Linked DNA regions of Danio rerio. The protein of the gene in region 2 interacts with the protein of the main gene of each other region in a pairwise test. Links are inferred from orthologs where the notes say so. Each region holds a gene or a part of one and is shown on either strand. Other genes may lie near its edges.

Region 1 (4,618 bases), on a different chromosome or scaffold from region 2:
GGTCAAATGCAGGGCTCTAAAATGAATCTCCGTTATAAACGACTCATGTGAACCATCAATATCCTTGCGTCTTAATGTGCATATCCAACTTTATGATCTAAATGCTATATAACATTTGTAATATTCAATAATTTAGGGTGGACACTGAGGTGCAGGCACTGTTATGGTATCAGGCACCCTTATAAGTTACTTACTAAATTAGCCGTTACTTCACTTAGCCGACAAAATTACAAGTTTCTGGCACCGCAGCATCTGGTTGTCATATTTCTTTTACATTGTCTGCTGATTTTATTCATTATACGCCTAGAATTTAGTGTGAGTTGGTGCTACTTTGCGCTTATGGTCTGTGCAGTAAGTGACTGTATAATCATCAATAACGTGACTTGTTTAGCCCAAAAGTTCGTAACATACAAAACAACATCTTATCTATGAAATGTTCTGCCTTTATGCTTTGTTTTCTTTCTTTGCTCGTTACTAAACCTGTTTGCAGCACAAAAGTCCAGCATCATCAGATTGGCTTTGGTCTTGACTAGTGCGGTTGAATGACTTTTGTCCTGAGAGCACTGTACAAATTTGGCGGCACTATTGACGCATGCACAGGGTCCATATGCAATTTCTAGTGTATATATCTACGGTATCTTTCTTCAAAATATCTACTACTCAGGACGAGTAAATAGTGTAAAATACATTTTTGGATGAACTATCCCTTTAAGTCAATGCCACTCTTTTAATTTAAGCACTCGTCCCACATCTATATATTCCCTCTCAAGAGTGATCAACATAAAATGATGTTCTCTTCGTCAGCGAATCTCATTTATACAAGCATTTCATTCCTCGTTCAGGAACATTGTGCTTTTTGGAGCGGATGTTGATTTGGATGTGTTGTAAATGTAGGCCCCTTGACTGGCAGTATTGGTCATGCTCACGGTTTTGACAGAAGCACCAGTCCTTCTACATGGCTCAGTGCGTTACACAAACAATTCATGAAGATACAGTCCAAAGTACTTAATAGACCAACCTATACCTAGTATTAAACAGCCTTTACAGAAATGCTAGTGTCCATGGACAGCTTTAGAAATACTTTGCTGCACAGTTTTTGTCTTCTCAGAAGTTGTACCGCAGGGAACTGTCTGCAAAGCAGCGGATGCGTGCTTGAATTGGGATGAAATATTAATCGGCCTCTTTTGGTTAGTAGAGACTGTTCATGTAAGGTGATGTTTTAGGTGCAAAAGTGAGCTTCCCGAATGCGGTGGGAGTTTTGATGTGGGTTTCTGTGTGTTGCAGTGGATGTGAAGAGGGAACTGTGTCTGGAGACACTACTTTTGGCTCAATATTAAATGGATACTGTGTAAACAAGTAATTACAAAAGAGGAGACGGAGTGGGGGAGCAGAGAGAAAGAGGAGGTAAGAAAGCAGAGACTGTGACAGAAAGATAGAGAGAAGAGAGGGGTTTCAGGCAATAAGCGGGACGTCCCACCCGCAGACTGGCACACTTCTCAGTCCCTGTTCAGGCTGCACCAGGCGGCTAGAAAGAGTAAAAGAGTGAGCGAGAGAGAGAGAGAGAGAGAGAGAGAGAGAGAGAGAGACAGAGAGTCAGTGTCATTATTAAAGTAATGAAAGACAGTAAAATTCTTTGTATAGCGGTTGACAAATTTCTGTAAACACATTCTAGACAAGCTTATAGTTTTGCGGTTATGCAAAGCACTGTAAACTGTAGGCTGCTCTGATCGCTTCACATTCAGAGAGACATACAGATAGATTTGGTTAGCCCTGGAACGTGTAATGAAACATTTGAAAGAGAATCAATGCACTTACTAAAAGCACACTCAGCACAGGCAGCCACTTGCACATAGACACACAGACATAGATTTATACACACACATACTTTAAGGTCAACTATTTATAATAAATTCATTATAAATAATTATAGTGTTAATTATATATAACAGTATGTAAACAAATAATTTTAATAAGTTTTAATAATGGACCCTTTTCACATTTCCATAAGGCATCATGGTTAGGTAAACGTAGAGCGCAGTGAGAGTACAAATAATATTTTTTATAGTCCTATTAGCTGAAATAATAAAAGAAAAACTCAACAATGGTGTTATCAAGACTTTCAAAAAAAGAAAAAATTGCGTGAGACTGAGTTTTTTGTAATTTGACACAAAGATTATATAAAATATTCATAAATGCATATTAATGTATAAACGTTTTTTTAATCTAAATATTTAAAAGGATTCAAGGATTTAAGATTATGATGATTGTTAAACACATCATAACAGTCTTGTGAAAAGGGTCTATAGATCATATCAATTTTAGTTTTTAATAACAGTAGTTCTAAACTACACAACTTCCACATTATTACTTTAAATAACGAATATAAGCATATTTAATGTAAATGCATATGCACTTGTATAAAAATATTTATTGTAATCTATTATACTAAACTTGTTTTTAAAATGCTGAAATTATGGCATTTCTATTCTATTTTTTTTATTCAAAGCGTAACATCGTAACACCTAGAAAAAAAAATTAAATCCGTAAACGACAAAATAGCCTGCCACTGTGTACATAACTTTCTCACTGTATAAAAAAGGCCAATTTTATTGTATTTTTAATTAAAAAGAGATATCTACAATTAGTAAAAATCAATAAACAACTAAATAGTTTGCCATTGTGTACATAACTGTCCAAATGCATACAAATTGTAACATATTTTGTATTTTTAAATGAAAAAGTGACATCTAGAATTAGGAAAAATTAGTAACTTACAATTTTTTTATCTGCCATTGTCTAAATGACAGAATAAAATATCAAATATGCTACAATTTAATTACAAATTACTGCTCAGCACCATTTGTGTGCCTATTTAAGTTTATATGTCCTTTTTACAACTACAGTTGAAGTCAGAATTATTAGCCTCCCTGTTTATTTTTTCCCCAATTTCTGTTTAACGGAGAGACAATTTTTTTTTCAACATTTCTAAACATGATAGTTTTAATAACTAATTTCTAATAACTGATTTATTTTATCTTTGCCACCATGATAGTAAATACTATTTGGCTAGATATTTTTCAAGACACTTCTATACAGCTTGAAGTGACATTTAAAGGCTTAACTAGGTTAATTAGGTAAACTAGTCAGGTTCGGGTAATTAGGCAAGTTATTGTATAATGATGGTTTGTTTTGTAGACTATCAAAAAATGTTTGCTTAAAGGGGCTAATAATTTTGACCTTAAAAAAAAAACTACTTTTATTCTAGCCGAAATAAAACAAATAAGACTTTCTCCAGAAGAAAAAATATTATCAGACATGCTGTGAACACTTCCTTGCTCTGTCAAACATCATTTGGGAAATATCTAAAAAAGAAAAAGAAAAAAATCAAAGTGGGGCTAATAATTCTGACTTCAAATGTATGCAGGCTCTTGAGTGTTTTTTTTTCTTTCAGTATTTCTATTTTGTAATAGAGCTGGAATGAGCGCAAGAGTGTTTGCAATACAGAAGCTCCAAATGCAGAGACTGTCAGAGGACAGACATGCTGAAAATGAGAGTAATCCTGCAGGGCAAGTAGGAATTCATAATAGCTGTGAAATGTAAGGACATCCCTCCTCTAGACTACACAATACATGCAAAACAAGCAGCATCAAAGACTGGTTTGGCTCTAATGCCCACAGCAGCCTCTATAGCAGACAGAAGAACACACCGGGCACAGCGACAGTGGACACCGCCTCAGGCTGACACAGAGTATCCACTTTCACATGCTGGAACGCCTTGCAGGCTGCAGTCAGAAGATGCCTGAGAGGGAAATCAAGCGACACAGTTCCAGCATTATAATCAGTCTTCAGATGCAAAGCAGCATCAATAAAATACTGTACATGTGACTTTGCAGCTAAATAGATTCTGAACAGAACTAGACCATTTATAAATTCTGTTGACTTTGTATCTTCTAGTCAACTAGCGCCCCATTTACTTCTGGTTTTAAGATGCAATTTTCAACAATAGCATGACCTTTTTTTTAAAATAAAATGTCTTAAGCTTCATACTTAACAAGTAGTAAACTATGTTAATGTGTTTGTTCATTCCATAACATAATATCACAAAGATGGTCTTAAAAATAATGTAAAGCATGATAAAATTTAAGGGAAAGTCTTGACAAAAAAGTGGCCTAATGAGATGAAATTGAATGTTAATCACAAATATCAATAATTATAGTAAACTATAACTTTACTTGCCCTGTACTGTACTTGCAAAGTTACTTGTATTTAATGTTTTGAAGGAGTATCAAAATAAAGTGCTAGCAGAAAGTCTACTAGTACTCTAATAATTGCAAAATTACTGTAGTCAATCATTTTGCAAGTTAATTCACAGATTTTTAGTTTAGTTTAGTTTAGTTTAGTTTTGTTAATCTTCATTCAAAATCTGACATGTTGCTTCCACATTAGGAGTGGCGGTTCTCTGTTGATGTCAGTTTGATATTTTTTTAATCACACCCCTTTTCTACAAGGGGATGATGAGCAATAAAAAAACTTCACCCCCTACTTAATATCCAGTTTCAGTTGGAAGTACATCAACATACATAAATAAAAGTCTTAACAAATTCCAGGTCACATGGACT
Region 2 (3,826 bases):
TGCAATAGAGCTATATAATTAATAATATTTTGGACATTTATAGCAACATTTTACAGTACAATTTGTGACTTTTACACAAGAAACCTTAGATGCATTTAGCATTTTAGGATAGGTTCATGGCATCTAAACAGTTGTAAACCCCTGTATTACAGTTTTTGGGTGCCAATCAATCTTTGTTTTCTATCACTGACAGAGATATAGTTAATATCCTTGAATACAAACAAATAAAAATGTTAAAGTGTATCCCAGATGTTTACATAGATGTCAATTATTTAATTATTTAATACTCTACAAATTTGTTTTAGTGCGTCATGTGGCATGCAGACTTCTGTATTCATGCGGGCCTGAGAACCCATCAGAGAGTATCGTGCGCAAGCAAATACTGGTTAGTGAAAAATTATTTCCAGCAGTCTTGTTTATTAGCTTGTACTAATTTGACATTCACACAGAAGTCAGTAATAAAGTGGTTCATGCATATGCACAGTACATTTGTTTATTTCCATCCCTTGTGCATGCTCCTTGCATATTTGACTGAAATCTTACTTGTTTGTTTCTCAGATGGCCAGTAAAACTGGGAGAACATGGCTCGATTGTAAAAACTCCAAGTCTGCGGATGCTTTTTTGAGCATGGCTGTCAATGTATGTATGAATTCATTGAAAAAAACAGACAATATTGGCGGAACAAGAAAAAATTGCATATAATAAATAAATATATAATGCTATTGTGTGGTGGAATATTGATAAGTACCCATAATTATTTTTCACATTTTGGTAGTGTACTTACTGTAGGGTGTTTTGGGTTGACTTTTCCAATACTATTTAAAACTTGGTTACTCTCTGAACCCAGCCCGTCTCGTTGTAAATTTATTATTTATTTAATGCTTTTTCTGGATAAATTTTACATCCATAAATGAAAAAAAATAAATTCTAAGTAACTCCTTTTTTATTTTCAGAAACGATTTTGATAATATGTGAACTAGGGCTGCAGGATGCTATTAAAATTTTCTACAGTTCTGCAGTCTTTGTAAATATTTTTTTCTTGCATCGAAATAAATAAGACACAATAATATTGACGTAATACATGAATAAGAAACCACAAATATGCTACTTTTACAGAGCCTGGAGACTCTTTACAGCAGACTAACATCCCATGGAGATGGAGAAGATATGAACACACCAAAGGGCGACATAGAGAAAGACCTGTTGCGGATTTTGTCTTATCAGGCAGAATCTGTTAGTAGAGATTGCTTAGCATGTGCAAATGTGTGTATTTTTTTATATGCAAGTTTATTTTTGCTTTTATAGGCAGTATCTCAAGAGCAACACCAAGTGGCAGTGTCATGCATACAGCGATGTAAAGAAATCCTTCTACGCCTCCCTAAAGAGGTGGACAAAGTGGTGCAATTTTTAAATTCTGATTTAAGAGAGCGAAAATTTATAGTATAAATGGAAATAATGCTGCCTCTGTGAAATCCTGTTTAGACTGGCTATCTCTCCCTCATCTGTTACAACTTTGGGGTTGACACTTACAGTCAGGGAAAGCATGAAGAGAGCACATTTTGGCTTAGGTAAGGATCTCTGTAATAATATAATAAATATACTAAATAATAAACTCTCTGGTTTTCTCCCACAGTCCAAAAAACATGCATCATTAGTGAATTGATTAATCTAAATTAGCACTTTAGTAGAGCTCTTAACCAGCTGTATATCTCTCTCTATATAACAATTTTAATCTGTCATCAGCTCTAAATAAGGGGAAGTTCTTGAGACTAACCTGAGCTTAAACTCCCCTCTCGCTCTAATGGGAGAAAGCCCAAGGCTCAAGGACATTGACCTCAGGGCTTTCTCCTGGGGCAGCATGCCAAACTTGCTTCATAAATTAATCATCAGCTAAGTGTTAACTTGGTAAAAATAATCTGATTTGGTGTTCACGAAAAATTTCTTAATGTTTTTGTGGACGCTGTGATATCCGTTTTCATGAGGATTATTTAAATAGAAAGTTCAAATGAACAGCATTCATTTAAACAGAAGTATTTTATAACTCTTTAATTGTCCTTGCGGTCACATCTTCAATTTAATTACTAATTTTTTATAAAAATATTAAAAGGTCTTCCAAAGAAAGACCCAAAACTGACCCAAAACTTTTGTGCAATATTGCCACAACATTAGTGTTGTTATGATAGCTATTTGCACTATAAGGACATTTCCCATGTGTTGAAAGTTTTTTTTTCTTCTGGTTAACACATTCTTAATCTGCATTGCAGCCAAAGTTATGATATAGGCAAGATGAACATGAAGTATTCACCAGGATCAGAGATGCAAGTAAGAAACATTAGATGTGACTGAAATTAATAGACTTGGTGGAATTGGACTTTTCTGATTTGAATTGTTTATTAGTATAATTCTGGGCAGAATAGTTTAGAGTTCACATTCATTTTTTTACACCTGTCTGTTTATTTCCATGCTTAAATTAGATTTTGAATCTCAGATATTTATTGTGGTCTCCGACTGTTTTTGTATTAAATGAATGCGTTGTCTAATTTCTTATTCTTCCAGGCCAAAGTCTTGAGGCTTCTTGCAACAGTTTATTTGGAGTGGGACCACCAGAAGTATCTAGAAAAAGCTCTTCAGGCTGTGAGCTTGGCAAATAAGGTAAAGTATCCCTAGTTCAGCTATTTTTTATTAAAGTAGATGATCAGATTAAACTGTAGCACAGCTTTGTTTTATTACATCATGTTTGTTATTTTTTTCAGGAGCACATGCAGTTGTCAGGTCTTTACTTGAAGATCCGTATCCTAGTGAAAGGCTGTAGCCCAGATGAAGCAGTAAAATCCGGTGAGCCATGTTATTTCACAAAAAAAAAAAAAAATTACTCCACAAATGTTGTCCTAAACATGTTGCTTTCCCTGTCCTGTCAGGACTGTCAGAGCTGCTGGACTGTGAGGTTCCACTGGAAGTGTGTTTGAGCACAGTAAAGCTGCTTGTAGAAGAGAACAGGTATGACCTTTCATGTTTCTAAACAGGCACAAAAACATCCTGAGATCTGTAGTTGAAAGAGACATTACAGAGGCACTGACATGTTGTTGTTTCAGGGAGGCTTTGGCCTTTGACTTCCTGAAGCGAGTGTGTCAGCATTTTGAGTCGTCTCCTGAACTGGGCTCTGCTCTGCTCATGCATATAGAGCTGCTGCTGCAGCGGGACAAAGAGCTGCTGGCCAAGCAGAAGATCGAGGATGCTATTACTGGTGCTCAAAAGTATTTTGTTATTATGTGAAGCAACCGAGTCATTGTTATTTTATAGTTTTAAGCAAGAGTGCATTTCATGTCATTATACTGTATGAAACATGTGACCCTTCACACAATGTTTTCTCTGTTAAACAAGTCATAGTGCTCCCACTATTTACTTCTGTGATTCCCTGGAAAACACTTAATATTTTCATCTTGGTTTCAAATAGAAGCAAACACTGGGACACAATGAGAAGGCTCAGTTGAACTGTATTTAATTGTTTAATTGGTAACACTTTAATTGAAAAAGTGTTTATAAGACTGTCATTAAACCTTTATAATCAACATAATATATATATAAACAACTGTCATTAAGTGTCATTCACTCAGTTATGGTGTTTTAAACAAATACATAAACAAATACATCACAATCTGTTTTTGTCATGACAACTTGATATTACCAAGACAACAAAACTTGTCATAAACCTGTCGTAAACATGATTGTCATGAAGCCGTTATTATTGTCATAAATTTATTGTAGCGTCGTTAATTATATATTTTTTTATCTCAACTACAGTGATACAAGCTGAGTTTGTCTTTAA

The links.
Region 1: the proteins of tex11 (region 2) and necab2 interact in binary tests that used the Homo sapiens proteins (3 or more experiments, as listed by UniProt). The two-hybrid records come from large-scale screens. The link is inferred for Danio rerio from reciprocal best matches to the Homo sapiens genes TEX11 and NECAB2.

The regions. Positions count from the first base shown.
Region 1 is NC_133193.1:23,004,285-23,008,902, reverse strand, and holds the end of necab2 (N-terminal EF-hand calcium-binding protein 2), read right to left. Parts: intron 3,799-4,618; coding exon 3,707-3,798; intron 1,526-3,706; coding exon 1,497-1,525; 3' UTR 822-1,496; downstream 1-821. UniProt on the Homo sapiens protein: May act as a signaling scaffold protein that senses intracellular calcium.
Region 2 is NC_133189.1:37,599,590-37,603,415, forward strand, and holds part of tex11 (testis-expressed protein 11), read left to right. Parts: intron 1-305; coding exon 306-385; intron 386-558; coding exon 559-639; intron 640-1,116; coding exon 1,117-1,233; intron 1,234-1,305; coding exon 1,306-1,386; intron 1,387-1,482; coding exon 1,483-1,568; intron 1,569-2,264; coding exon 2,265-2,322; intron 2,323-2,556; coding exon 2,557-2,652; intron 2,653-2,753; coding exon 2,754-2,835; intron 2,836-2,918; coding exon 2,919-2,997; intron 2,998-3,092; coding exon 3,093-3,244; intron 3,245-3,826. UniProt on the Homo sapiens protein: Regulator of crossing-over during meiosis. Involved in initiation and/or maintenance of chromosome synapsis and formation of crossovers.